Linked DNA regions of Alligator mississippiensis. The protein of the gene in region 1 interacts with the protein of each later gene in a biochemical or structural test. Links are inferred from orthologs where the notes say so. Each region holds a gene or a part of one and is shown in the gene's direction. Other genes may lie near its edges. The genes, in order: LRRK1, BAG5, MATK and CHGB.

Region 1 (7,998 bases):
AGATGATCCCGAGCTCTGTCTGACCCGTGACCAAAATTCCAGACATCCCGCATTACAGGGAGTCGGCTTTTATCAAACGGTGCCCTTGAAAGCAATATTACTTGCCCAGATCATGTTTGAAAGACCTTGGGCTTTGTTCACGTGGACTGTTCCTGCATTGACGTATGTGGGCCTTACTTGGAGTAAATGAACACAGCTCCATTGACTCAATTGGCATTGCTCCTGCTGGTAGTGGGAGCAATGCCACTGAAGTCAAAGGAGTCTGTCAGGTGCGAAGACGATAGCCCATCTCCTGCTGTCGGGGGGAGCGTGGCTGTGTGTGCATGGGAGTTTTGAAGCACTTTTATCAGAAGAGTTACCTTTGCTTTCTCTCATGCACATGCAACCTTGAGGCAGGTGGAAGCCTGGCCCTGAGTGACATCAGTTGGAGTTTTCTTACACACTTCCACGGGGCCAGGATTTCACAGGCTTAAGATCCACGTGTTCTTTGCTGCCTGTCTCTTGGTGCACGCACTCTGCAGGCGCTGAGAGTACAAGTCATTGACTCCATAATCCACCTGGCTCCAGAGTCGCTCAGATCACAAGTCATTACTTCGGCACTTTTCACAAGAGGATTTTGCACTGCATCTACCGTAGTGACGTCACCACTGAGGGGAAAATGGAAACTGGAGCTGAAATCTTCTCGGAGGAGAGGAAAGATGGAAAGGCAGCCTAGTTTGCCTTGTGCTTCTTTCGCTGTCCTTTGGATTCCCATGCGCGAGGTTCATTTTGTTCAACCAGATCTGTTTTTGAGGTTGAACAAAATTAGAAAGCTCCCCTTCCCCTGCCCTCCCCATACCCCCAATGAATGTAGCTTAAACTAGACTCTTCAAAATACACAATGAGAGAGAAACTGCTCCCAGGCTGGGACTCTCATGTTTAACTCCCAGTATGTTTTTGAGAGAGAGAGGACCTGATCCTTTGGTAGCTCCATGGCTTGGTCCTCCAGGGTCTGAGTTGGAGGATACTATTGAAGAACCTGATTGAGATGCACCTTGTCTGAAAGCCCAGGGTGAGAAGGGAAGTTGCCAGTGGTGTGAGCTTACTTCCAGAGGCCCCAAACTGGATAGCACTGCCCAAGATGGGACTTTGGTTAGGGGGCAGGGGATGCTCTGATTGAACTGCCTATTCTGGAGAGGCTTCCCAGAGAACCGTTGACTAAGAGTGAAGGTAAGGAAAGTCTGATGGGCAACCACTGCACCCACACACTGTCAGAGCCCCGCTGGCTTCCACGCAGCACTGATGAGGAGGACCCCGAGGTGTCGGTGGGAGTCCTGCAGGTGGCTAAATAGCAAGTGTCAAATACTAGGGTCTTGAAATGGAAATGCAGGCTCGCTATGGCAGTGCAAGGCCAGAGCAAGAAACTATACGTGTCCTCCAACGTAATTAAGAATTACTCCCACGCTGCTATGCTGGGAGACCGGTTTACTTGGACCTGACCTTCCTTAAGAGCCAGCAAGCCTTGAAAGAAATGAGGCTTTCACACTTTAACTTCTTATCAATGACCTATCCCCAGTAGCTGTATGCTAGGGAGCATCTTTTCTCCTGTGAGGCAGGATATCCACAGATGAATCTTTCTCCCTGAAACAGAGAGACTTCCTCCTTCCTCCCCGAAAGTCCAAATGGGAAAACTGTAAATAGTCTTCTGTTTTTTGCAATGTGTAGCAAGGAAGCCTGAGCGCTCCCTCAGAAATCATTTTCACCACTGCTTAGTGAATGGGCTTTTAGCATCCAAAGCTAGAACTAGACACAAGGCAAGTATGTGATCAAGTCAGGCAAGAAGATTAGTAATCAATGTAGCTTTCTGTATTTCTTCGTTTGACAAACATCTTAATGAAATTGTATGTTTTCAGATGTCACCATATTCTTTTTAGTATGGTTTTTATACATATATATATAAAATACGTGTGTGTGTATATATATAAATATATACATTTCATCTTTCCTCCTTTTTTCCTATCAACTTAAAATAAATGACTTAGTAATGTATTCTCTTATTGTATAAATCAGGGTTTGGCTTGACACACTGAATTTTCTAAATTATATATCTAATAACAGTAAATACTAACTTTTAAAATGACCCACGAGTGGGTATATATTCTTCCATTGCACAGTAATGCTTTTTATATGAAATGCTACTTTTAAATATATATATAAATATATAAACTAGGTTACAGTTATTCTAATGTATTTTTATAGCTGAAGGTACATGGAAATGCTAAGTTTTAAACCTCATGTATATAATATAGAATATTGGGTATCTTTTTTGTAATGTTAGCTTTTCAAGTTTTAATAAAAATGGTTAACTTTGTGGTACAGATTATAGGTGTGACATTTAACATCTTGCCCAGTAAAAAAGTACGGGGGGGAAATCTGATTTCACTCCCAAAGGTAAGTGTGGCTCCCTTTGTATTAGAAGATATTGGAGTTTGTCCTATTATCAGGCCAAATGCTGCCTTGAGATAAGCTTTATGTCCTTTACTGAGGCTGTTGTGCTCCCTAAGACCTTCCCCTGACTTCCTTAGGCTCTGACTTGCTGGTTATCCCCTCCTTGCCCTTCACGCAGTCTGAATTTGGGCCATTGTCAACAGAATTGAACGTTGTAGATGGGTCAAGCGCTCCTGCTCCTAGAACAAAATGCCCCTGTTGTGCTATAGTAGCAGCAGCCTGTCTCCTTGAGACCGCGTGCTGTCTGTCCCCCTGGTATCCAGTCTTCCCCAGCGGGTTTCCAAGAGCAGAAAGTCGTGCTGAGCTCACAAAAGGGACAACCGAACACTGAACTACCTTCAATCGGAGAGCACCGTGTCCACGATGATACTGGATTACCAGCGTGGGTGAGCAGGGCACTTTCTGCCAATGCAGAAATGCGTTGGCATGGGCCAGTGCTGTATAAGTGAAATAAGACAGCTCTTCCAACCAGCTTGCCCCCTGTGGGGTCAAATCCTGCTGGCCTTACTTGCTAGTCCTATTGACAGCAGGCTAGGATTGGGGCTGCTCCAGCCTTTCTCCATCTGCAAGGTGGTCTACGTCCTCGCCTGGCAGAAGTGGGCATAGTTTGGGAGTGGAGACCCAGCCTTACAACTCCACACTGATTTAAAGGGCATAAAGCCCAAAGCCAGAGAAGTGCTAAGACTGCTAGTGGGGTGTTGGTTGTTGCCGTGTTGCTCTACAGACGTGGGCAGACTCGTGGGAACGCAACGCAGGAAGAAGGGGTTGCCATTAAGAGCGCATCTTAGCTGAGCATCTGGAGAAAATTCGTGCTTATCTACATCAGTCTGTCAGCACAGAGATGGGTCCTTGGTTTTATTCTGTGTCTTCAGAGAAACCTGCTGCAGAAAGAGTTTGCAGGTGGGGATTTGTCTCTATAAGCCTGTCTCAAGCAGGGAAAGACGGAGGCCTGAGGGGGTAGAAGAAAAGGCAATGAGTAAGAGACTGGGTAAGGGCAGGATTAAGAACAGAGATGAGTTTGCCTTGCTCCTCCTGGCTCTTACGACAGTAGCAGTTGGATTTGGGGAGTGGAGGCTGCCAGGAGAGCTGTCTGATGTGGTGCAGCTGGGACCGAGCTCCCTCAGCTGCAGGGATTTGGGGTCCCAGCTGCACCCTGGGGGCAGCATGCGGGTGCGTGGAGCACCTCCACATCCCTGTGGCTGGGAGATCACATTGGCTGCCATCTCCCAGCGCCCTGGAGGTGGCAGCAGCTGGGGTCTCCCCACCCACCTCTGTCTACACGTGCACCTTGAATGGGGGGTGGAAATAAAGGTTTTCCAGCAATAACTTTATACCTGATTGGAGTGTTTTAAGGTGGGAGAGATCAGTTGCAAGTGTAGCTGGTCTACGTTTTATGGTACGCTTGGCTGGGTAATTGTGCAATAAAGTGTGTGTGTGGATGAGAGACTGAGATGGTGTGTAGACACGTGTAGGAATAGAGTGGGTGTGTGCGGGGGTAATCGAGTGTGTGCGCACAGATGAGAGACTGAAACAGTGTGTACACATGGAATAGTGTGTGTGCATGTGTGTGTATGGGCACTACAGAAAGTGTGTGCATGTGTGTAGGCAAGTGTGTGAGTGCACAATAGTTTGTGTGTGTGTAATAGTGTGCATGCAGGCAATTTGTGTGTGCATGTGCGCAATAGAAAAAGTGTAGGCAACAGGGTACGAGTGTGCACAATAGTGTATGTGTGTGTATGCAGGCAATCTGTGTGTGTGCACAATAGAAAAGTGTAGGCAATAGGGTGTGAGTGTGCACAATAGTGTATGTATGTGTAATAGCGTGCATGCAGGCAATTTGCGTGTGCAATAGAAAAAGTAGGCAATAGGGTGCGAGTGCACAATATGTGTGTGTAATAGTGTGCATGCAGGCAACGTGTGTGTGCATGCGCGCAATAGAAAATGTGTGTAGGCAATAGTGTGTAAGTATGCACAATAGTGTGTGTGTAATACTGTGCATGCAGGCAATTTGTGTGTGCATGTGCGCAATAGAAAAGGGGTGTGTGTGTAGACAATAGGGTGCGAGTGTGCACAATAGTGTATGTGTGTGTAATAGTGTGCATGCAGGCAACGTGTGTGTGCATACGCGCAATAGAAAATGTGTGTAGGCAATAGTGTGTGAGTATGCACAATAGTGTGTGTGTAATACTGTGCATTCAGGCAATTTGTGTGTGCATGTGCGCAATAGGAAAGGTGTGTGTGTGTGTAGACAATAGGGTGCGAGTGTGCACAATAGTGTATGTGTGTGTAATAGTGTGCATGCAGGCAATTTGTGTGTGCATGTGCGCAATAGAAAAAGTGCGTGTGTAGGCAATAGCGTGTGAGTGTGCACAATAGTGTGCATGCAGGCAATTTGTGCGTCTGTGTGTACGTGTGTGCAATAGAAAAAGTGTGCGCGCGGGCAATAGAGAGAGCAGGAGCGCGCCGGGCCGTGCTGGGCGGGCCGGGGGCGGGCCGACGTGCGGCGGACACGCCCGGCCCGGCCCGGCCCGGCCCGGCCCGGCGCGGCGGGGAGGAAGCGGGGCTCTTCCGTGGGCGCGCCGCCCGGCTGCCCGGCCGCGGCTGCAGGTAGGAGCGCTGCGGAGGAGGGTGGCGGCGCAGGGCAGGGCAGGGCAGAGCTGCCCCCAGGGCCCTGGGCGGCTGCCGCGCGGAGCAGGGGCCCCTGGGGGGACAGCGCGGGGTGGGTGTCACGCAGGGGTGCGCGGAGAGCCAGGAACAAAAGCTCTTCTGGATGGAAACCAGAAAACGAGCTTTCCTCCAAAGCCCCCAGGTACCCCCCGGCTGACTCCCCTTTCTCCTCTTGCAGCATCCGTCCCTTTCCTCTGGACGTCGTTCCAGCGGCAGCGCACGGTGCCCAAGGCGCGGGCCCGCGTCCCGGGGAGCCGGCCGGTGCACAAGGGACCCGTAAGTCCATCCAGATCGGCGAGGCCGCCCAGGCGACGCCCGAGACGCCCTGGCAGGACCGCAGGCCCGGGGCCGGCGCAGCCTGTTGCAGCGCGGGAGGAGCGAGCGAGATGAGGGGCAGAGTTTGCGGGAAGGGGAAGAGCTCCAGAGCAGCCTGGGTGGGTGGGTGTCGTCCGCAGCAAGCGTCCGTTCAAAGGGAGCCGAAGTTTGGGCTCCTACCAGGTGCCACTTCCTAAAAGCTGGCAGTGGAAAGGAAATCCTTTAAATACAAAGGGAAACTACTTTGTATCCAGTAGCCTCTACAGTAACCCCTGGCCCTGCTCTGGAGTTTTTCGTGGTGCAGAGCAGTGACAATTGATAACCCCTGGTTTTACTTTTCGCACGAATCTCGGAGCGCCCCATAAGCAGTGATTAATTCAGCGCTGCGTCTCTACGCTAACCAGGGCAGTTCAGCCAGATTCAAAACGGGACCAGAGGCGTTCGTGGAGGGAAGGTGAATCAGCAGCCACAGAGCCTGGGAGTGAGGCTTCTGAATCAGGGCTTCCTGGAGCTTGAGTGCTGGAGGCTGCAAGCGAGAGGAGCGGTGGAAAAAAGCATCCCCGTTCACTCTCCTTTTCAGCATCCGCTCTCTGCTGCTGTGACACAGGAGGCTAGGCGACACAAGGGGCTTGCTAGCATTCCCAAGTCATTGCATCTTGGTTGTTATTTCCTTGAACGGGCCCAGGGCGGGTTACTTTTCATTGTGTCTCTGCTCCCGTGGCAGGAGCGGTGCTAGTGGCTGCCAGTATTTTATGGGATGAATTAAGCTCGTGCCACGGTCTTTCGGCAGGGAGCTCCTGGTGTTCCACGAGGAACCCGGGACTTCAGGGGACCTTCGGAGCCATCGAATCCAGGTCTGAGGTTGACAGATGTAGCAGAGATTTTGCCCTAACATTGCACCAATTTACCTTCTCTCTTGGAAAATACTTCTCTGCGTGGGGCTTCATCCTGCCTTCTGCAGTCATCCGATGAGCCCTCGGTCGGCTGGTTTGTTCATCCACCTCATTACCCCATGTTAGTGCCCATTGTAAGATGCCTTTAACTCTATCTTTGGCTTCGAAGAGGGCATGACATTGTTTGGGAAGGCAGTGAGATCTGACGGTTTAAGCAGGGGCCTCCTGATGTTGCTCTGGAGCCTGGACTTGGTGAGCGATATTAGGCAAGGCATGCCCCAGATTACCTATAACGTGGGTATGGCACAGAGGGCCAGTGTTATGGAGAGGCTTAGTTAACCGTTGTGAATTGCTCGGAGAAGCTGGGAATGCAAAGCTATTTATTTTTAAAAGCCTCCTGGACTTTGGACTCAATCTGAACTCAAGCTGTCTGCCTGCCAGGAAGTCTCCGAGGAGAAATTGGGAAGCTTGCAAATAGCATCTAAATCTGCTTTAAAATATATCGCTTCCTGCTTTAATCTGGCAGAGTGGATACTGCAGCACCTTGGGCAACATCCACTGGTTATTGTTGCGTATTCAAGAGAAAACCTTATGTCACAGCTGAGACATGGAGCAGTAACTTAAAGGTATAAAACATGACAGGGATGTTGCATCTTGTTCCCCGATCAGTAACCTGGGAAATTCAGGGCACATGCTGAAAAGAAATTCAAAGGTGGGAGAGTTTAAAGATGTGCGGTTGGATCACCTTAGCACTGCCTTGCATTGCCTTCTGCAATAACGCAGTTACGGAGAGGACAGGTTTGTATTCCTGGCCTCGGACGGGGGCAAACTGACTTCTTCCGCACCATGTATTCCAGAACGATTTCCTGCGGGGTCTCCATGGGGCAGAGCGAGGGAGTTAGTGGCACATTTGGAAATTGTGTCCGGGGCAGTTTTCACCCACCTGCAGTTAGTGGTCACTGCAGACTACACAAGTTGCAGCATGGCATCTAATTTTTCCCCCCCCATGATTGCTAACATTGTTTTAGGGGGAGGAAAATGTCACGTAAGACTGGATGTCTGCTGCGGGGGGGCTGTGGGGCCAGTCTCTGCTTTGCAAGAGGACGTATTCACCCTTGCTGTAATTCCTCAGCGGAGTTGTAGAGGATGATTTATTTGATGTTGCCAATACTGTGGCAGTGCCGCCTCCCACCCTCCCCACGCATACCTTCTAAACCTGAGACATCAGTAGGCGCCGTAGGGAGAAGATGGTCCTCGGTGCTAGTAGTTTTGCAGATGCCACGTTCAGTGATTTGGCAAATATTTTTGCCTTGTTCCAGGCTTTCTTAAAAGAGCAAAGCAAAGGTGGTGGTGTGTGCAGTGACCACTGGGTGATCTCGCACAGCGTCACATATTCACCCTCACCACAGCTTCTGATCTTGCTAGGGTCCCCAGGCAAGAAAGAGGAAGATCGATCGGGGTGAATCCAGGATTTGGCCATGCTGCTCAGGTGGCTGCACCCCCTGCTCCCAGCCTCCTCCCCCCACCCACTGGTGTGCAAAGACAACCCCACCAGAGACGCTGGGGACTTTTTTGTAAGTCCCCCAAAGCACGTCAGACTCCCCCCTTCCCCTCCAGGCTTAAAGGAACGCTCCCT
Region 2 (7,750 bases), on another chromosome or scaffold:
GATGAGTTCCAGGAAATATACAAATTTATTATTTCTGTTATTTCTGTAATCTAAATAAAACAATAAAAAGTGAAAACTAACACTGTGATATAAATTTAAATTCTGGTATTTTAAAAAACATGACAGAAATTCAATTTATCTAATTAGTCTAATTTATCTAATTAATCAAACAAACAAGATACTGAATTAAAAACAAGAATAAGTAGGAGAAATGTAATGATCTGTAAAATACAGGTCAGACTAGATGCTTTCATGGCCTCCTCTGACAATACAATCTATCAAATGATTCTTTTCAGGCATGCTTAGTACCATGCTCTACAGATCCCCTGTATTAGTATCTTATTTTTAGTTCCATCTCATTAAACAGACATGCAACCATTTTCCAGAAACTGGGTTCAGGCAAGTAAACTTGGGAAATAGCTGTTCCTTCCTCAGAAGTTGACTCCCTCTTCCTCAAGGAAGCATGTTGTATGTATAAGCCAGGGCTGTCCAATTTTTGGACAGTGTGGGGGGGGGCACACGCTGCATGGGCTGTAGACCCCCAGGTCACATGCCTGGACAGCCTAGCTGCCTTCCCAGCCACATGGGCAGCACAGGTAAACCAGCCTCTCTCTTATCACAGACAGCCCAAATTTGTGAGGCTAGCAGCCCCAGCATAATGTGTGTTCAGGAGCAAACTCTCTCCAACACTCAGCTCCACTACTTCACTGGAGTGAGTATGTGTGAGGGGGAGAAGGGTTGCTTTAACTTGGACTACCAAGTAATTATGGATTCCCTTCCTGGGAACAGAGATCTCAGGCTGCCAGAGCTCCTAGAGGCACAGCGTACCCCTGCAGCCACAGAGGTGGCTGGATTTGCTTTTGAGCACTGGTCTCCAAACTTTTTATGTAGAAGATCACTTTTGGCATTTAAAAAAGAACCCAAGATCTACTGTGCACCGCCACTGCCCCCACCCCCAGAAGGTAAGTCCATGGGGAAGAAAGGAGGAGTGGGGCAAATCGAGGCAGAGGGAGAAAAAAAAAATATTTGGGGATGTGCCTCCCCGGCAGGTAAGTCTCACCCGGCCAGGGCACCACTCAATTTACCCCTGCTCCTGCCTCCGTGGCACTGTCCCTCACCACAGAGGCCTTGATCTAGCCCCCACTCCTTCCCTCCCCCACAGACCGACCCGCTGGGCTGGGGTGCTCACGTGCATACATGCAGGCACTCACCCCTCCACCCCAGCCTCAGATTGACTCCAAGAGGCTCCGAGATCTACTGCAAGAGGTTCTGAGATCTACTGGTGGATTGAGATCCATTGGTTGGTGACCACTGCTCTTGAGCTTTCTGGGGAACTGAAATTAGCAAAACCCAAAGGTAAAACAGAAGACACACTAAACTACATACAACAGCCTCACTGACCTGTTTCATCTCTTGTTTGCAGACCTTTAGCTTTCAGTCTTGAATAAATGAATTCTTCTTTTCCCTAAAACACATGTTTCCACACATTAACACACTTAGTCTTTGAAGTTAGCCAACCTATACCACCTACCAGCTTACTGAGCAAGTTTCAAGAACATGTAAAAGGACCATTTCTAGACCTTACTAAACCTGGTAATGACAACAGTGTTTGTTGCTTAATCCAATAATAAGTTAATTTGATCCTCTTAAGGAAACAGTCACTGAGCCCTGATCCTGCACACTGTTACATGTGTGTATGAGTTTATTTATATACAGAATCCCACAGAAATAAATGTGATTTGTTTGTGTAAGTTATATACGTGCGCAAGTTCACAGGATCAGGACCTTACATTGCAAGTTTTAAATAAGGCAATTTATCAAATTAGGTCTTGTTGCTTTATACACAAAGTTGAGTCCAAATAATACATGTAGCTTCCCCTTTAAATTAATTCAAAGCTACTTAAACAGCCAAAAAAAAGTTTTAAAACTAAAAAAAGAACGGAACCCCCAAAATTTTCTTTTGACATTTAAAGGAAGCAAACTTTTCTCTTGTTTAGAGAACTTTATCACTTTCTGGAGAACCTTGGAAAAGGTCATCAGAGCTGGGGGTTAATAGTTAAGCTGCTGTTGCTCCCTCAACCTAAAATTCAGTATCTCCTCCCCAGTGTGCAACCATATAAAAAAACCTGAGAGAGACTAGGAGTGAAAATGACCTGCCCAAAGTCATGGTCAGGAAGATATATTGGGACAGAAAAGCTCTTGCTTATTCTCCCTCTATAACTGCATCTATGCTCCCACTCATCGTGGAGTTATCAGGCTTGCAGCTCGGGTTTCAATAACCAGCTTGAATGCCAGGTTCTCCAGGATAAAAGAGGACAATCATACACTGATATTTGTTAAATAAAAAGCCAGAAAAAAGGGAGAATATTTTTATACTGCATTAAACAGCAGCTAGACATACACTGGTTAACTATGTAGTTGATCTTTAAATGTGCTCTTTAGTATTGAGAAGACAATATAACAACGGCAAAAACAGAAACTGACAAAAACAGACGCATTAGAAACTGGTTTTCTTTGACATTACTCAGGCTGAATCAGCTACAAAATCAAATTTAAAAGCACAGGATAAAGAACTGCAGAGACATAATTTAATAATATTTTTGAAGACAAATACTTTGCATTACCTCAACTATTTTGAGGAGTTATATAATAAAGAACAATCATGCTTCAAGGTCACTCTGCAGTGCAGCTGTGAAAATCTTCCACGTAAGAAACATAATTCCATTTATCTATCAGCTATTAACACGGCAAGCTCTTAAAGAAACTCAGCACCACCAAGTGGCTTAGTACCTCATCTACACGCTCACCTGCTGGAATGACACATTCTGGTTTGCCCAGAATTGTTGATTCCACATTTGAGTTTCTTGTCTAAATTCCCTAAGTCTTTGTTCCAGTGATGATTCATTTTTAGGAACATAAAATATTATTGGCCGGAGGTTTGAATATCTGTCAGGAGGGCCGATCCAATCATTACAAGAACGTGCCGGAGGGCAGAAGCTTGAAACCTCAGGGAAAAAGAAAAGAAAGGAATAACAAGCATTTTGAATTATTTAGGTTTTGTACATAAGTTCACAGAAAAATATCATAACACTTCACACAGCTGAGTATAACTTCAAAACATGTAACTGAATAGTTGAAAAAAGAATGCGAGTTTGGTTTAATCCGATTTAAATTTTCTACAGTAATTCATGATTCACTTTTATGCTTGGCAACATGACACAGATGCACAAGTGACCTCTGAGTCATACAACAAACGTGGATTAGATACACAACAAATGACTGTTTCACTTGACATGTTGTCCCGTTATTTGATAGCAATGAGTGACTGCAGTGTCCCCTTCCATTGTATTTAAATTCCCTTCTACTAAACACCCTTTATTTCTGCGAGTCCATGTATACAGCCTGATGAAGCAGGCTGTAGGTTACGAAAGCTCATGCTTCTCAGAACCAGTTAGTGTCCAGAGGGCCACCCGGCCCCGCCTTCCACCTTAAAAAACTTTTGTGGTATTATTTTCTATTTATTCTTTGCTTCTGCATGTCTAATAATAGCAAGCAAAGACTCCCCAGGGAGCTGTCAAAGCTGGAGCAGGGAAAACACCCGATTTCTAGCACACCTTGTTAATGACTCATTGCTTGGTTTAGAAAAATAATTACTTTTTTGTGGTTTAGTTTCCCAAACTGTGCGACAGGCAGGGATTTCTTAGCGTGATATCTTTCATTGGACCAACCACATAGCTGCGACGGAGTCAGACAAGCTTTTGAAAGCTCAGAGCTGACGAAGGCAGCCTTGCATTCAAATGCTTGTCTAATTCTATCCCAGCTCGGCGGCTGGTCCGGTAAGAGATACCGCCCTAAGAAACCCTCGCCTCTTGCACGAGTCCTGGCCCGCCACAGCCTCAGCATCAATCCAACGCTCCCATTTTCCCCAAGCGCGAACAAGCGAGCTTGTCCCTGCCGGGGGCGTTCACGGCTCCCTCAAGCACGCCGAGCTGCCCACGGGAAAGGCACAACAGAAACAAACTGGCCACCAACTGATTGAGAGCAGGGTCAGGGTTGATATCAGGAGGCATCGCTTCCTGGTGAGGGCTGCCAGGCGCTGGAAGGGGCTCCCCAGGGAGGCAGCGGCGCTCTCCCCTACCCGGCCGGCCTTCAAGAGACAGATATCTGGCTGGGGTGTTACGATCCCAGCACTCGTTGCTGCCCAGGGCAGGGGCGGACTTGATAATCTGCTCGGGGCCCTCCGACTGGAGAACCTACGAGCATGGCATGACAGCGTCCACCTCCAGAGCCAATCCCGGTTCGTTCAATCCGTGAGTTGTGGGGGAGCTCGTAGCCCAGGGTGCTTATGAAGCGCTCGGGCTGGACGGTCCGTCAGGAGAGCCAGCCCAAACCCGCTCCAGCACGGCCCAGCTAGGAGAGGCCCGTGTCGCACATCCCGTCAATTACGGTAGGGCGGGGCCTGCGACAGCGTTACCGCCCATTACGGTAGGGCGGGGCCAACGGCCACACAGCCCCGCGCCCTTCCCGCCACACCTACCCCGCCGCGCGTCCGGTCGCCTAGCCCCGCCCCCTGGGCGCGTGCCGGCCCCGAGCAGCGGCAGCTGCTGCAGTAGCAACGGCACGGGACGCTTCGCAACGCGGCCGCCATTAGCCTCTCAGCGGCGGCTGCTGCTTTACGGCACTGTCGTAAGAGCGCAGCGGACCAACCGAAGCGGCTCGCGGGGTTCCGCCCCCAGAGCCCCGTGAGGGGTAGGGCGGGACTGGACGCAGCGGCCTCTCCCCTCCCCCCCATCCCTTCGGGCTCGCCGCCGGTTGGCCACTGCCGGGCCTGGCCGTTTCGTGCCCCGCTGTGACGTCACGGCCGGCGGGCTAACGCGGCAGGTAGGTAGCGAGCGAGCGGGCGGGGGGCGGTGGCGCAAGGCGCCCGCGCGGGGCCCGCGGGTAAGGGGGGGCGGCGGGGGGGGGCTCGCTCGCGACCGTTGAGGAGCCCGGGGGGGCGCAGGGCGTGCTGTGCCCCGCAGCAGGGCCCGGGCCAGGAGCTGGGGGTGGCGGAGGTCGGATCCCCAGCCCAGGCCCACGATGGTGTGGGGCGAGAGGGAGGGCGGCTTGTCGAACTGGTGCCAAGCCCCGTGTGTCGCTCTGTCTCTCTCAGTTCACGTGGAGCCGGATGAGGGAAGAGCATGGATATGGGTAACCAACACCCTGCCATCAGACGGCTCCAGGAGATCCAGAAGGAAGTCAAGGACCTGGAGCAGCAGGTGGCGGCCTTCAGCGGCTTGTCCGCGGACCGGGAGTACAAGAAGCTGGAGCGGGCCCTGACCAGGCAGCTGTTTGAGATCGATTCTGTGGACACGGAGGGCCGAGGGGACGTCCAGCAAGCCCGCAACCGGGCGGCCCAGGAAACAGAGAGGCTGCTGAAGGAGCTGGAGCAAAACGCCAACCACCCGCACAGGCTGGAGATCGAGGCCATCTACAAGGAGGCGCAGTCCCTCGTGGAACGGGAAATCACCCCTTTCTACAAAGGCGCCAACTGCATCAGCGACGAGTTCGAAGAGGGTCTTCAGGACATCATCCTGAGACTCACTCAGGTGAAAACCGGAGGGAAAGTCTCCTTGCGGAAAGCGAGGTACCGCACGGTGACAAAAGTGTGTATGGTTCAGGAGATCATAGAAAGCTGCGTCAAGCAGCAGCCTTCGCTGCCGCTGTCCGACGACGTGCATCCCTCCATTTCTAAAATTAACTCTGTCCTGTGCGACGTGAACAAAGCTAGAGGGACGCTTATTGCGCTCCTCATGGGAGTAAATAACAACGAAACCTGCAGGCACTTAGCATGCGTGCTTACCGGCTTGATGGCTGATCTGGATGCTTTGGATGTTTGTGGCCGCGTAGAAATAAGAAATTACAGGAAGGAAGTGGTGGAAGAGATCAATAAGTTACAGAAATACCTGGATTTGGAAGAGGAAGCTGACACAACTTCAGCTTATGACTTGGCCCAAAATCAGTCCATTCTGAAAATAGAAGAGATCCGCAAAAAAATGAAAGAAGTTCATTCTGTACTTTTAAGAGTGGAAAATGCTTCTGACTTGTATTTGGGATCTAAGGCAGAACTGCAAGGATTAATCACGTGCTTGGATGAAGTGAGTCCAGGAAAGAATCCATGTATCAGAGAAGCCAGGAGAAGAGCAGTGATTGAAGTGCAAACTCTTATAACATACATTGATTTAAAAGAAGCGTTAGAAAAAAGGCGAATGCACAGTGATCAAGTTAATGCTGAACATCACTCCCACAAAGCAGTCTGGAGTGTGCTTGGAAGTCTCTCTCAGATTCAGCAGGAGGTGCTGTCATTTGATGGAAACCGAGCTGATAAGAACTACATGAGACTGGAAGAGCTGCTCACGAAGCAGCTGTTAGCCCTTGATGCTGTTGACCCTCAAGGAGATGAACGCTGTAAGGCTGCCAGAAAGCAGGCAGTAAAGCTTGCCCAGAATACTCTTTACTATCTAGACATGAAAACAGATGAGTGGGAGTACTGAAACAGCTGTGGTCCCTGTGAGATATTGCTTTCTCTTTTTTTGCACTTTATATAAACTGATAGTCCCATGAGCAGCAGATAATTAAAATTTGTGTTGTTTTAATATTTGCTCAAGTTACAGAGACTGCATAAATAGTTGGCTTGACGGCTATCCCACGCTTTCACTCGTTTGCCATGGCAACTGTCCGCCTACCCTTAACCATTCAGTTTTTATCACTGCAGTATGTAGATGATGATTTCTTGAGTTGCTGAGTGATGATCAGAGTGTCTTATGTTGGGCCAAGTTTTTGTTTAAAGAAACATAATATAAAATTTAGGGGCTGCAGACTTCTCAAAGAGGCAGGGGCTTCCTTGAAGTAAATTACTGGGAAAAGTACCAAAAGAAGGCAGGGAACTAAAACTATTGACCAAATTCAAGATTAGATCTAGCAACTGTATAGCAGCATGGACATGCTTTTAATGTGCTGTTCCAATCAGAAGGATTAAATGCAAAAAAAAATGTTGGTTTTTCCTTTGTGCTTGATTTTATTCCAGCTATTTCATTCTACTGTGTTTGGTGTCATTTCATAACAGTATTACAAGACAGCTTGCAAATTAACATTTACATACATAATGCCCAGCTGGTTGGTACTACAAGAAAATGGATGGACCTAGGGAAAAGTTCCTGTTCTCATTTTGTTTTAAAGTAATTATGATACTTTAAGGAACAGAAAAAAATTATAGCAGGCGCTGAGTGGAGAAATGTGAAATCTATAGGGTTTTATACTGGCATCCATAAAGCCTGGACTGGATCTTGTGCAGGTGCCATTTAGATCCTTTCTAACCCTGTTCTTGAGGGTGGATGTCATGAATCTTCTCAACAGTCTATGAGTATGGAAACCACTTTTACTATTGCTTGTGGATGCATCTGATTTAACCTTGTAAAACTAGGTAGTTACAATGTTGTCTGTGCTTTTATACCTAAGTTACAGATCTCATACTGGTATCTTCAGATGCTAACACTCAAAAGACTTGTAGCATAATGTCTCTTCTCTTAATTCACCAGTTATTGGTTTGGTTCTTCAGCTGTTTAAATAAAGCTGATTATGCTGCTTTCTGCAGTACCCTTTTCTTCTGGCCATGGGAACTAATTAGCCAGCACAAATCATGTTTCCACTGTAGCAAATGTTTGGTGGTGCACAGACAGCTGCATTAAATGGCCTTAATGGATCAAAATAT
Region 3 (7,743 bases), on another chromosome or scaffold:
CCCATGCAAAACTCACTCCCTCATTCAGGTGTAAATTCACTGGTGTAAATTCAGGTGTAAATTCATTGAAAATATTTACTTTAAACCTATGCTGGCTTTTTTTTTTTCTCTTAAAATTTCCCTCTCTCCTAACAGCCAGCTCAGCTCCAGCAATGCCAGGATTTGTGGCAACGCGCTGGGGCAGACTTTTTCAGCAGCGTCACAGAGATCTGCTTTCACTAGGTATTATATGGTGGGGAAAACTTCAGGTGCTGCCTGGAGCCTCTGCTGCTAACACACCTTTACACAGCCATTGCTGAACCTGCAAGCTTGGCTGCAGTGGCAGGAAGCACTTACTAAATACTTCCCCCCCACCCCAAGAATAGGTATCACAGGAAGCTTAAAATGAGATTTCTTTTTTGTCCCTTCGTTAGAATTCTTCATCCCTCATGTATTCAGCTGTAGTTGGTGCAAAAGAAAATAATAATTTGAGAATGGAAAGGAAACTGCTACTTTGTGGGTAGGCCTAGGGACTAACTAACCTAGCCCTGTTGCAAGGCTTTCTGCTTTTGATTGCCAGTTTCCTGAGGAAATGCATCATGCATAAAATCTTTAACAGTGGTATAAGTCTGGGGGTTGTTTCCGGCCTAATTTCAAAGAATTTAATTGCACAGTTAACTTCAGATTTTAAAGAGGGTGGGTGGGCAGAGGGAACATGCAGGCCTGGTTGACTTCAAGCAAAAGAAAAGTCAGCGCCGCAACACCATTTTATAGCAACAATAGTACCTCGACATACAGTTTTATTATCAGGTATTCCGCAATCAAATCAGATGGAACCATTTTCAGATAATTAGGATCTATGCCCAGCCTTGCAGCTCAGCCATCGTGCTTTCTCTTCCCATGTTTTGTTGGAAGGCTCTCAATCTGTTTCTGTGCTGCCCATTGCAGCTTCTCCTTCCCAGGTCCCACCTTATAGTCTGATCATACGAAAATACTCCACTGCTTCTGGCACATCTATTCTAGCAGCTCCCCCTTCCATACCACTGACCTTCGCTTTCACCTGCATGTTGCAACGTGCCTAATTCCTTATGAACTTGTGTCCAGCTTTCAAGTTGCTTTTCCCTTTTGTTTTCACTTGGGCTGACAGGTGAGGCTGTTATCCTGTGACCTGAGATCCAGGTCAGGTTTCCTGCATGACCTTGGCTGAGTTCACTTCACTGGTCATCTGTTCCCTTTCACACATCATAGGGCCACTCAGGGTGTGGACACATGTAGCATTTTGAAACATTTGGGTGACCATACATCCCATTTTCACTGGAACAGGCCCATTTTAACCCCCTCTCCCATCTGTGTCAAATGAATGCCTTTACCTGGTTCTCAGCAGGAATGCAGCAGCAATGCTCTCCAGCTAGGGAGCAAGATAGAGGGTTGCTGATATTCTGGCTTCTCACAGTTCACTTTCCCCACCCCAACGCTGGTGCTTCACAAAACCCCTTCACCCCCTTGCTCCCTGTGCTGAGACTGGAGTGATAAGACAGCTGAATATACAGGAGAGCTGGGAAGGAGCAGACTATGCCATTTTGTGACTTGGGAAGTATGACTACCCTATTCAAATGCCACTGAAGCATGCCAAAGGGCAAGCCAGGCAGATGTATGTGCCCTTTGAAGTGCTCCCAAACCAGTGGAAGTGCCACAGGAATGGTGAAGGAAGCAGCCACTTTTTAAAAGTGCTTCAAAATGACATGCTCGGTGGAGCACAACAGAGACCTTTGAGTCCTCCGGCATCCCACAGTGCTCCTCGGACCCACCCCCAGCTTGGACTGCAAGTTTCTCAAGGCAAGCGCTGTCTCACTGTGTTTATACTGGGCCTGGCACAGGGAACCTGTGGTCGTATTTGCAACTTTTTACAAATGTGCAACAGAATAAAAACGAATCAGGTCTGTAATTAACAGCAGGTATCTGAAAAACACTATCAGCATCATATCCCAGCCCCAAAAGACTGTATTTAGATGAGTCATGGCATTGTCCTTGTGAATTGTTAGTCCTTTGCTTTTGTTAATAGCTAGGAAACTGCTTGCTTATATTTTTAATTCCTCATTACAACTTCCTTTTAATGAGGAAGCTGTTAATTCACCTGGTCAATACCCTTGGGCAGCAATAGCAAACGTATTGAATCACATTGCGAAGTCCCTGTTATATTGCAGCGGTCTATAAGTTATTTCACAAGTAATCATCAGTCATTTTCGCAACAGCATGTCTTGGATGAGGATTCTTTTCATCTCAGACCTTTCAAAATAGCCAGCCCAAGGCCTTTCCCTAGGATGCCCACCCTCTTGGACGGCCCAGGTATATGATACAAAAGCTATAGGGCCAAGTCCTTCCAGAGTGTTTTTATAGCTCTATAGACATCACTGACACTGTGATGGATAACACCAGCTATCTGGGGGAGCTGCTTAATTGCTGGAAAAAAATGCAATTTTGCAAGGAACCGAAATTATCCCCAAGCTCAGTCTGAATCCTGCAGTCTCCACTGAAACATTAAGGAACAAATTAGAAATATTTAACTGCTTTGTTTTGATATTTCCAAAATGAAACATTGAACTTTTGCTCCAAAAATGACCATTTCAGAACTGGCCAGAGTCTCATTTGAAAAGGCTTAAGCTCCAAAATGGAATGTTGTTCCCTAAAATGAATGCCTTGGTTCTTATCACTTTGCTGGAAAACAGCCCTTTTGTTTTGGGCTGACGCAACCCTAGTAATTCTCAACTTTTTTTGGTTTTGTTCAGGAATTGAAACAAATCAATGATTTGTGCACTTCTGGGTATGGACACATGACATAATTAACTCAGAGAAATTTAACGTAGATTTTACTCTAAAATACAGTGATTCTCAATCAGGGTACCATGCCGCCCTGGGGTGCCATGAGATGGGTGTCATAGTATTCCATGTGATGTTAGCACTGTTAGGTGTTCAAAAAGGATTCACAAACCCAGAGATTTAAAATAGGAACCTATGGTGTTAAAAACATTCTGACCTGTTATGGTCTGAGTTCTTTGCAAGTGAAGAATTGATATATTATTTTTCTGTAGTCAAAAAAACGTAAAAATGGAGAGCTGGCATTTTCTGATGGAGCCTCAAATCTAACCAGGGGTGCCTTGAGTCTAAAAAGGTTGAGGACGGCTATTCTAGTTTACTATGTAGTAATGAATGGGCACATGCCCACTAGGGCTGTGCGAAACGGCACCGTTCCATTTCGACTTGCGTTTCAACAGAACAGCATTTCATTTCAAATTTTGTTTCGATTCGAAACTGCTGTTCCATTTTGTTTCATCGAAACAGTTTCGCTGTTTCAACGTTTTGCCCGTAGGCTATAATGGGGAAGCTTGAAACTGCCTATAACTTTGTCATTTCTGGTCTGATTTGGATGAAACTTGCAGGAATAGTAGCCCCTTCTGAGGGCATGAAGCCTGCCAAGTTTCAAGGAGATAGGTGCAGGGGTTTTGGGGAAACTGCACCTCAAGCTGTGGACAAGCAAAACTCGTGACATGGGTGACACTGTGTGTGTGAAGGCGCAGCAGGGTGAAAGCTGCAGGGATGGTGGCCCCTGCTGAGGCCATGAAGCTGCCAGCTGTTGACATAGGTTCAGGGGCTTCTTGGTTCTGGGGCCCTGCACCTCTAGCTGCCGACAGGCAAAACTGGAAGACGCAGCTCAGTAACTGCCACCAAGGCAGAAAGCAGGGCAGTTCAAACAATACTGCCTTTTATGCAGTTTTTCCATCCCTCCCCCAGAGCACTGGGGTTGGACGGGACCTCAGGAAAGGATGACAGTAAACTGGAAACGTTTAAAAAATCTCGAAACGTTTCGACTCGCCTTGTTTTGTTTCGAGGTTGTTTCAAAGCTCTGTTTTGTTTCGATTTCGCTGTTTCGAGCTGGAAACAAGTCGAAACAACATCAAAACAAAACTGCCAGCGAAATTTCACACAGCCCTAATGCCCACATTGCCCAGGCTGTTTGCTTCCAGTAGGTGCCACTGCAGCACTTGGCCACGCAATGTGGACAGCTGATTTGCATTGACCGAGGGCTTCCCTTGGATGGAGATGTAACCACAGGACCAGGACACCGATGTAACTTATATCAGTGGTGGCTGCTCCTCACTTCCTGAGGGGTAAGGTTGTCCTGGAGCAGAGTGACTTACACTAGTACTTGTGTGTCCACTTCATTTTTGCTGCAGCATAAAGCCAATGTACTCCCTAGCAAACAGGTTGTGTCCACATGTTCTAACTAAGGGCTGCGAGGGCTGCGTAATCTTTTGCCTTTGTACGGCATCTGTGAGCTAAGGATCTCTCCATGCTTTGCAGTTACTCATTTTGTTCGTGATGTGTCTGTGAGCTAGGTCAATATTTTTATCATCGGTTTTAATGCTGAAAACACTGAGACACAGAGAAGTGACTTCCTCACACCAGGCAGAAGGTCAGTGATGAAGCTGGGACCAGAATTCAAGGTTCCTACTAGAGTCTAATCACATTTCCCTTCTTGAAGCTCCAAAATATCTTGTGGGAAAGCTGCTGCCACTCATGATTCCTCGCGTTGTCACCCGCTGGTGATTATGCAGTCCCTGCCACTAAAAATAAGTGCCGCTAAAAATAAAGTTGTAGGAGTAAATTGCACTCTGCTCATATCACTTGAATGCTAGTTTGCTTTGGATATCATAAAATGCTATATTATTGCAGATCAGCCAATTGCCAATGCTTTCCTCAATTTCCTTAATGGGCATGTGTTATGAGGGGGCAAAAGTCACTCGAGGATTTAGCCTCAGCAACAAATGAATCACTGGTGAATAATAAACCTGACTGTGGAGGAAGCAGGCACTAGGACCTCTAAGACGTTACGTCTGCAGAAGAGCCAAACGAGAGAGAAATCAGGAAATAACACTGAGGCAGTATAACGACAGTAGTTTTCTGAGGGTGCTGCAGCTGCCCTGGGTGGTAACGCTCCGCTCCTCTGTTTGGACAGGAGTTTATTGTCCACGAATCTTGGGACTCGGCTCCAGATTAAGCTGTGGTCAAACCTGTACCGACATTAACACCAAGGACCTTGCATGGACACTCCAGGAAGGTAAGTGCAAAGATCCGGCTGGTTCAGTAATGCCGCTGCGTAACATATTTTCTTGGTGGGGAAAGAGGAGACCCAAGTGACTGTCAAACGAAGAGTGCTGCAGTCAGAGGGATAAGTAGCTCAGTACCACCTCTTTACCTCTGTCCATCTGTACCCAGGTGGCCCTCCTGATATCCATGTGGGTGGGTATTGGTGAGGCGGGGAGGAGGGGTACCTCTAGAAAGCAGATACAAGCGTGCTGAGTTTTGGTGCAGAGATCCTGGTAGGCTTCCTGCAAGCTACCAAAGCACACGTATACTCCAAGACAGCACGTAAAGCCCTTTGATTCCTTTAGCTCTCAAGATGGAGGAGTTCCGTGCATTGAGGGCATAGTTGTCTTATTGCGCTTCAAACCAGTATGGTTTCCATATTCTGGGCAATTTCCTAAAGCACGTGAGAATTGGTGTAAGAACCAAACCCTCCGGTATATGTGGTATCTATCAGGAAGTATATTCAATATACTCAGTATATTCAATATACTCAGTTCCACAGGCTAAGGCAATTAAAACTAGTTCATTTGGTTGGGAACGGGGAAATTGTTCACCTTTCAGCCCTGTGTCCCAGCCTAGTGTAGGGCGGTGGGGGCTCCAAGTTATAAAAAGTGATTCTCAATCTGGGCGCCATGAAAGCCTTCTAAGTGTGTCACAGAGTGTAACACAACATCAGCACTGCTGAGTGTGCAACATCTACACACGATTCATGCAATAAACCCAGGGATTGCAACTAGAAATCCAGAGTGTCCAAAGCACTCTGGCCTGCGGTGGCCTTTCTGCATTCTTTGCAACAGAAGAATTGCTCTGTTATTTTTCTGCAGCCAAAAAACAAGTGAAAACACTAGGAGCTGGCATTTTCCGAGGGGTGTCTTGAATCTAATGAGAGGGGCCTTGAGTCGAGAATCGCTGTTATAAAGAATGTTATAGTCCAGGTGCTTTTTCTTCGAGGTACTTGTCCAAATGGCTCTGACTTCTGGGTCCATGACACCCAGAAAGGAGATCCACATAGACAAGGTATGCTCGAGGATCACAGGGCGGTGTAGGAGAAGTTCATTTATAAGCTTTGGGAGTGGCAGAGAGGAAAAGGATGCATGTTGGCCTTTCTAATAAGCTGGTTTCTGCAGCTGGATCTGATGGTCTCAGCCAGACCCCTTGCCCCTGATCACCAGAACTACTCCTGTCTATCAGCTCTTGCTGACTCCTTTAAGCCAGGCTCATAAGATGTGTTGCCTGGGTTGGGTGGGGCAGATGAACCTCTTGTTCATTCTTCCCTACCTTGGACCCCCAGGCTCTCCAGCAGCCCACCTTCCCTCTTGCTGAAGTCGCCCACAGATGCATACTCCCAAGGGAAGATTCTGAATGGAAAACCAGCTGTTCTGGGGCATTACAATGCAGAGAAATGGAGAAGGCCACTAATGGCCAGATTATCCAGCAGTATTACAGCCCTTGCAGATCCAGGACTGACCCCTCCTAGCAAAGCTAAAGCTCCTACCTCTTGGTATCTAGGCACCTGTAGGCGCATTCCCGAGAGGTGCTCTTGTGAAGCACTTGTGTGCTTCCACTTTCCCTTCCAGCTGTGCTGATCTGCCTGCTGCTCCCTGCTCACAGCACCATTCGCCAACAGCTGTCAGTGCACCTTCCTGCAGAAGGCACCCCCAGGAGAGGAGGGACCAAGATTTGCCAGGATCTGCTGGGACGTGCTGCTTTGGCAGGCGTGGCTAGCCTTTCTGGTGGCTTGGGTATCGTTTTTGGTGTCGCGCGGTGCCATGCATCACTTCTAATCATCATGACTGCTCTTCTTTCCCACCAGTCAGGTTTGGCTTGGTTTGGTTTGTTTATAGTGGGGGAAGAGTGAGTGGAAAAAGCAGCTGACTTGCCCATCCTAAGACCTATGACTATATATCTCAGTGTTTCCATGACCTCGGTCATGCAGGACCAAGCACTTCACAACACCCCTGACCAGATTATTGCTGTTGCCATCTTAAAGACGGATGGGGAGGTCTGTGACAGTCCAGCCTCCTAAATTTGGAGGCTGCAGTTGTGCTGCGCTCTGCTGTGGACAGGGTTATCACGTCTTGTTTGGTCTTTGCCCCTGCTGGGATGGTTTGTTTTATACTGCCTTACTGTTGATTCACGCCAGGCATGCTTTGGAAGCAACAAGGCTCCAATATCACCTCATTTGACTGCTCCTCAACCGAGCAGAGCAAAGAGCATTGCCTGATCAACAGATTGCGCTAGATGACTGTGTTCAGCCATGGATGGCAGTGCCATGTAGGGCCTGTTGGGTGTGACCATAGCACCGGGCATCCACACATGGACAGCCCTTGAAGACTTAGCTCCCCGTTACATCTGCAGCAACTTCCCAGTGCTCTTCATTTGCCATAGCCCTCCAAGCTGCTGTTCTTAAGGTAGATGCTGCTGGAGAGGTGTATAGGGGTGCCACCATCAGTGCAATATGGAGCCATGCACTTCTGCACTAACCAGAGGTTCTTGGCAGCCAGGCACCGATTCAGAGGTTGAAGTAAAGTGAGTTTGTATCAGAGGCAAAGCAGGGCAGCTCCAGGCAACACAAAGGGCAGTGCTTAGCTCCTGTGGTGCTGATCATGGCGGCACAAC
Region 4 (6,941 bases), on another chromosome or scaffold:
CTTGGACCGATATTATTCAATATCTTCATCAGCGATTTGGACGAGGACATGGAGAGCACCCTCTCCAAGTTCGCTGATGATACCAAGTTATGGGGCAAAGTTAGTACACTGGAGGGCAGGGAGCAGATTCAGGCTGACCTGGACAGGTTGGATCAATGGGCAGAGAGAAATAGGATGCAATTTAATAAAGATAAATGTAAGGTACTCCACCTGGGAAGGAGGAACCACCAGCACACCTATAGGTTGGGGAGTGTCCTTCTCAGCAGCTTGGAGACAGAGAGGGATCTTGGAGCCATAATTGACCCCAAGATGAACATGAGCCAGCAGTGTAATGAGGCCATCAACAAGGCCAATCGCATCTTGTTGTGCATTAGCAGGTGCATGACTAATAGATCAAAGGAGGTGATGCTCCCCCTCCATGCGGCACTGGTCAGGCTGCAGTTGGAGTCCTGTGTCCAGTTTTGGGTGCCACACTTCAAGAGGGACACGGGGAATCTTGAGAGGGTCCAGAGGAGGGGGGGACCCGCATGATTAGTGGCCTTCATGATAGACCCTATGGGGGGAGGTTGAGAGAGCTGAATCTCTTCAGCCTTCATGAGACAGCTGAGAGGAGATCTTGTGGCCGCCTATAAATTTATTAGGGGAGGTCAACGGGGCATAGGGGACGCGCTGTTTACTAGGGTGCCCCAGGGAATGACTAGGAATAACAGGTGTAAACTAGTTGAGAGTGGCTTTAGGTTAGATATTAGGAAGAAATTTTTCACAGTAAGGGTGGCCAGGATCTGGAATGAGCTTCCAAGAGAGGTGATGCTATCACCCAGCTTGGAGTTCTTCAAGAGGAGGCTAGATAGTCCCCTGGCTGGGGTCATCTGACCTCGGTCCTCTTTCCTGCCAGGAGCAGGCAGTTGGACACAATGATCCATTGTGGTCCCTTCTGACTCTACAATCTATGAATCTAGTACAGCACTGACGTTTGGATACAGAACTACAAACTTTCAGCCCTCTAAAATTATGAAATTGACTTAAAAATAATGAAGCATTTTATTGCTTTTGGGCTGGAATAATCCATTGTGGATCCATTGTGGAGAAATATGTGGATTGTGGGTTTTGGGCTTGCCCAAGTTTTTTGGCACCAAAATAAATGGGTTTCAGATCATGCTTTCATATTCTGTCTTTGTTCACTCCTGTCAGCTTTTTCATCAGGCTTTCTTCTGGGTTTTGCCATGAGCTTGTTGTGTGACCTCTGACAAGTTAGATCGATCTCTTTAGGATAGATTCTGATTTCCTTTGCGCCAATATAAGTTTGAAGTAATTCACAGTTACTCCTGATGTAACTGGAAACATTATTTATCCCACCTGTGCCTTCATTCCCCTTCAGTAAAAGGAACGCAGAGAAATTTCCTGTTTTGTAAATGTTGCAAAGCTCGAACCCTTAATGGTTTCATGGTGAAGAGCACTTTCAAAGATCCTGTAAGTAACAATAAATCCACTCCCATAGCTGAGTGCAAGGCAGTAGTACAGCCCCTTACTAGAACAGCAGCTACTTGTACAGAACAATTAGGCCACTGAACCTTAAGGTAAACCTTGGGACCCAAACCTGTCCCAACCCCAGTACCACTCTCTGTAGCATGAAGACTCCCATGTGATTGCCCCATTAGCTATCTCTTATCAAATGGAGTGTTAACTGTGCATCCTCTGCACTAAGGTGAATTTCACTTGTATTAAAATATGTCCATCCCCCCCACCCACTCCCACATCATGCAGCAGCAGGAAGTTAGGCCTAGCTATAGCAATGCAAGGTCAGTGGTACAAAAGCTACATGGGGGCAACCAAGAAGCATCACTATGTGAACGAGGAGAGTGAGAACACGATTTACGGTAAACAGCCAATATTCTATTAAATCTTTTCTAATTGTGGAACAAGATAATTTGACTTGGAGCCAAACTGTATCTTCAAATCATCAGTAGCACCAGAACAAAAGCCATTAGAATTCCTGAGAGACTTTCCACCGATTTCAGGGGGTTTTGTTTGAATCAGGCCTTAGGAGTCCCTCCAGTCAGTGACATCAGGAAATAGGGACATGGGAGGGGTTGCCTGCAGGTTAGACAAATGGACTGACCACTGATTAAGTGACCACTGATTTGCTTTTCAGTTACAATTAAGTAATTGTAATAATATTATCACCAGGTAAAGAAAGCCACTTCCTGCAAATGACAAAGAGGGTGTATGAAGGCATGCCGCTTTGACTTCATTCTGAAATGCTGCCTTCTAAAGCAGGATTAAAATAGGGTATAAGTTCCTGGTTTTTCCTAGGCATAGAAGCCAATAAGCGTGACGTTTCACAGTGTTTGGTGTCCTTGTATCCTGTTTTATGTGTTTATATCCTTTGAATATATATCAGTCTAGCATTAACAATAATCATTTGAATGCAGCCACTGGCTGTTATTCTCTATTTCTAAAGTGCCCATCACAGTGGGACCCCATTCTCAATTGGCCTCTGGGCATTACCTTAATAGAAGTAATATAAGGTATAGCAGATTACAAATGCATGCCTCTTCAGGAACACCGGCAATCAAAGACAGACCCCTGCCTGCCGTGTTTGAAAAAGATGCTGTCAAACATGAAGGCATGGGAGAGAGTGCTCTCTCTAAGAGTTGATGGGAAGGAAAGAAGCAAGGGGGAAAAAAAGAACCTAGGTGAGGGATATCTTTGCTCAGCTCTGCTCACTGAGGGGGCATCAAGCATTTCTCTCTGCAGGGAGTGCTTTACAGGATTTTATACTTTGTTCATCAAGGGATACTCTCAAAGGATGGGGTCTAGTTAAAAAATGATGTAGTCTTTTCCCAGTATGTTAGATCATAACAGAAAGTGTCTCAGTCACACCTCTTGAGGAACAGTGTGTGTGCCTGTGTGTATATGTGTGTGTGTGTGTGAGATGATCTCCCCACATGGAAAAAGGATCAGGCTGTGGAGACCAAGTGGGATTGCTGCATATGGGACTCATTTGCTAGCAAGTATCTGATCCAGGGTTTGTTTTGCATTGTCAAAAGAGGGAGAATGGTTAGTGTGGAAGGCATGGGCTTCCCAAAGGCTAGAGGGGTTGCAATAACAGCGACCTTTATTGCTAAGATCCTAGGGAGCCCTGATCAGCAGCGAACCTAGAAATGTGGTGGTTTCCTTTGCATTTATTCCATGGGGCTGAATGACCCACCCCCCTCCCCACATGGCTGCATGTAGGTAAATGTTACAGCATCCGGTGCAAATGGGGAAGGAGGAGATTCTGCATCCTTCAGCCCAGAGAAAGGGGATGGGGTGGGGGGGCTCTGTCTAAAGCCAGCCTGTGGGGAGATGTGGAGGGGGGTCATACCTCTTGGAAAGGGGCAGGAGGAAGGGATGAACTGGGTGCAGGGCAGGGGGGAAGAGAGGGGGAAGGAGAAAGGAAAAGGGGTCCTGCCTTTTGCAGCCCTGGGGAGAAAGGGTAGGGGGAAGTGGGGAGAGCTGTCTCCTCAGTCTGGGGAGGGGGTGGGTAGGGAAGGGGGCCTGGATTTGGGGGGCAGGCGGGGGTGGGTGCTGTGTGTGAAGGCGGAGGGGGGGGGTTCAGGGAGTGCTGTGTGGTGGTGGAGGGGCTCTGTGAGGCTACTGGAGGGGCTGTGTGGTGACGAGGGGCAACCAGGCAGGGCTGTGCGTGGCCGGGGAGGGCTCGGGGGCGGGGGGTGCCAAGGAGGAGACGGTGGCGGGAAGGCGAGGCTGGGCTGGGGCAGGGTCCGGCGGTGCCGGACAGCGGCGCCTCCCACGGCCCGGGCGCGGGGGCCCGGCGTGACGCAGGCTGCGGGCGGGAGCGCCGCGCCCCCACAGTGCCCGGCCCGGCTCCTCCGCCCCCGCGTCCCCCTTTAAATAGCGCGGCGCTGCCGCGCGGCCCCAGCCCGACCGCAGCCCTAGCCCCAGCCCCGCCGCCGGGAGCCGCCGCCGCAGCAGCAGCCGCCGTGCTCGGAGCGGGAGCGGGAGGCGGTGGCAGGGCGATGCCGGCGCTGGCGCTGCTCGGGCTGCTGGGGGCCGCCGCGCTCGCAGGTGAGTGTCCGTGCCCGGCACCGCGGCCAGCGCCGCCGCCCGCCCGCCAGCACCGCGCCCCGGACAGCGCCCGCCGGCGGGCTGTGTGCGTGCGTGCGTGTGTACAGAGGAGTGTGTACATGTGAGCGTGTGTGTGTGCATGCTTGTGTGTGAGAACATGTGAGTATGTGTGCATGCGTGTGTACATGTGAGCATGTGTGTATGTTTGTGTGTACATATAAGTGTGTGTGTGCATGCCTGTGTGTGTACATGAGTCTGTGAGCATGTGTGCATGCTTGTGTGTATGAGAGCATGTGAGTATGTGTGCATGTTCGTGTGTGTGTGAGTGTGCATGTGTCTGGCATGCCTGTGTGTGTGCATATGTGCGTGTCTGCAGGAACCCCCTTCCCTCTCCAGTCCCTGTCTGCCTGCCTCTTACAGAGACAAAGATAGATGCTCACACCTGCACAGATCTCTGCACAGAGAAAACATAAAGGCATGTATTCATGCATGCACACGCACACACACACATATACCTCCCCCCCCACCCATGTCCTGCATGTGTCTATGTGCCATAGCATGCATGTGTATGGGTCTGAAGGCATCAGTGTGCCCATTTGCAGGTAGGTATCTCCACAGAAGTATACCAAGTGTTTGGGGTTTCTGCAGTGTGCACAGCACACACCTTTGTTTATCCCATGGAGGTCTCTAGAGAGACACTACAGTGCATTAAGCAGATGTCTGCCCAGGTGTGTATACATACATCAGCGTGCATGTATGCATTGTCTAGTGTGTAGGTGTCTCCATATGTGTAAAATCTCTCTCTCTATATCATGTGTGAGCACTCACGAATGCACACACAGATTTCATCGTTTGTGGTTGGCACAGACTGGGAACCATTCTGACTCCTTTAGTCTTCTTAGCCAGACTGGCCAGAAATGGAGACAGCAAGAAGTTATTAAAAATGAAGAGAAGAAACAATATCCATATCATAAAAATACAAGCAGATAATAAGCATCTGGCTCTTTTGCCAATTATTTTTTAACCCATCCTTTTAACAGGCATGTGTTGGGGAAAAAAAGTCTGTCTGGGGAAAAAAGCTGGGCTTTATTTAAAAGGGCATGAAGATAAAACGCCTTGCTAGAAACTCTTCTTTTTAAACTGATGCTTGTCTTTTAGTTGTTGTTAACCAGCCTACTTTAAGAAACAAACCAAAAAAAAATGCAACCAACTAAACAAAAAACCCTGATGTTGGAGAAGGGAAAGGTTTTATCCTGGAGGATTATGCCATCTGTTAAGAGTTGTCTTTCTATCCAACTCAATGCAATTTTTTAGAGAGTGGATAGTAGCGCCTCTTCTCACTGAAACTGGCCAATCACCGGAAATCTGGGATGGATTTATTTGCTGAACCTGTCAAACAGAGCTGAATTCTGGAAGAGGAGAATGACCAAATGATTCTGAGTCGTTTATTTTTCAAATGGTCTGTGAGTTTGCCTACTCTTCCACTCAAGGCAGACACATGAAGAGCCCTGGAGATTGAACAAGATGCTCCAAAAGAATTATCTGTCTAAGGAGAAGTGCCTATGCAGGCAGAGGTTTCTATAAAATGGGTATTGACTAAATAAAACATATTCTAGAAATTTAAAGGGAAAGCATATACATAGATGGCTAACAAATATAATTCCACAGGTGGAATGATTGTTATTTAACTCTCCCCCCAATTAAATGTCACAACAAAGTTTAGAAGAGCTCAAATGTATTAGTACTAAAGACATAGAAACATGTGGAATGTGTCAGTGAAAAGATTTCCAGTTTAATCTGTTTTTGATCTGTTTTAATCATATTACTCATTTGGGGTTTGAATCTATCACTTGTACTTACATTGAGCAGTACTGAGCTCCTTGAATATTCCCTTGACTACAGTAAGAATAATTCCAGAGCAGGCTGCTGTTTAATGTAAAGGACCTGTTATTGGACTGCTTGGTAGTCTTTCTAAACTGGTTGCTGACAGCATAATTTGTGAGAAGAACTAAATTAAAAGCACGTCTTTTTGCCTACACTATTCTAAAACTAATCAGTCATCTGTTTATTTAATTGCCTATGTAACACTTATCATTCTTTCCCTACTGTTTTTCTAAGTCCAGTTTTATGCGAGAGAAAGTTAATTAGCCTTAACTGGAAAAATATGACTAGGAAACTCATTTTGAAGTAGCAAAGTCAGTTTGGGGCCAGCTTCAGAGTGAGATGCACAGGCAGAAGCCTGTTGTGCCCCTGTGAGCCAGGGCCCCCACAGAAGGACACATGGTGGGCTCCGACCCTGCCCCCCAGCACAGCTGGGAGGTAAGTGGGGCCTGCGGTGGGAGGGGAGTAGCCAGCTGCAGGAGGCAGCTGAGAGGAGCTGAGGAGGATCATGCCTCCACCTGGCTCCTACTTGGCTCAGCCCCCCAGGGAGCCACGTGAACAGAATGTGCGAACAAAGTGCACAAACAGGAGCGCTCTAGGCCTGGTACATGAGTTAGCATAGGAGGGCAAGCAGGAGGGGCATTAGGCTCTAGGTGGTGAGCCTCAAGAGAAGGTCAGCACAACAGTAGCCAGGTCTACTACCTGTGCAATGGTGGGAGGGACACGTTGCACTACAAAATTCCCCCCTACAGCTGGACCCCCTCTCCCGCTCTGGTACCACTGAGACTTAGATGAAGCCTATGGTTCTGGCCTAGGGGCTTGTGTCCAGGATGTAACTGAGAGGATCCCCGAACTCATCCGGCCCTCCGACCACCACCCCATGCTCCTCATCCATGCGGGCATGAATGACATGGCTCAGAACAATCCCAGGTGGGTCATGAAGTGACTACAGGGCTCTGGGGGCTGGGGTCAATGGTCTGGGGTTGCAGGTA

What was found.
Region 2: the proteins of LRRK1 (region 1) and BAG5 form a complex in vitro, tested with the Homo sapiens proteins (2 studies listed by BioGRID and IntAct, with this or other methods). The link is inferred for Alligator mississippiensis from reciprocal best matches to the Homo sapiens genes LRRK1 and BAG5.
Region 3: the proteins of LRRK1 (region 1) and MATK form a complex in vitro, tested with the Homo sapiens proteins (2 studies listed by BioGRID and IntAct, with this or other methods). The link is inferred for Alligator mississippiensis from reciprocal best matches to the Homo sapiens genes LRRK1 and MATK.
Region 4: the proteins of LRRK1 (region 1) and CHGB form a complex in vitro, tested with the Homo sapiens proteins (2 studies listed by BioGRID and IntAct, with this or other methods). The link is inferred for Alligator mississippiensis from reciprocal best matches to the Homo sapiens genes LRRK1 and CHGB.

The regions. Positions count from the first base shown.
Region 1 is NC_081834.1:7,133,156-7,141,153, reverse strand, and holds the start of LRRK1 (leucine-rich repeat serine/threonine-protein kinase 1), read left to right. Parts: upstream 1-4,994; 5' UTR 4,995-5,094; intron 5,095-5,332; 5' UTR 5,333-5,430; intron 5,431-7,998.
Region 2 is NC_081825.1:286,693,211-286,700,960, reverse strand, and holds the start of BAG5 (BAG family molecular chaperone regulator 5), read left to right. Parts: upstream 1-4,735; 5' UTR 4,736-4,885; intron 4,886-5,152; 5' UTR 5,153-5,180; coding exon 5,181-6,533; 3' UTR 6,534-7,750. Other genes in the region: cytochrome c oxidase assembly factor 8, read right to left, coding at 1,402-1,465, 2,808-3,005, 4,538-4,648. UniProt on the Homo sapiens protein: Co-chaperone for HSP/HSP70 proteins. It functions as a nucleotide-exchange factor promoting the release of ADP from HSP70, thereby activating HSP70-mediated protein refolding.
Region 3 is NC_081839.1:9,348,023-9,355,765, reverse strand, and holds the start of MATK (megakaryocyte-associated tyrosine-protein kinase), read left to right. Parts: upstream 1-4,730; 5' UTR 4,731-5,095; intron 5,096-7,743.
Region 4 is NC_081824.1:226,561,716-226,568,656, reverse strand, and holds the start of CHGB (secretogranin-1), read left to right. Parts: upstream 1-3,924; 5' UTR 3,925-4,019; coding exon 4,020-4,068; intron 4,069-6,941. UniProt on the Homo sapiens protein: Secretogranin-1 is a neuroendocrine secretory granule protein, which may be the precursor for other biologically active peptides.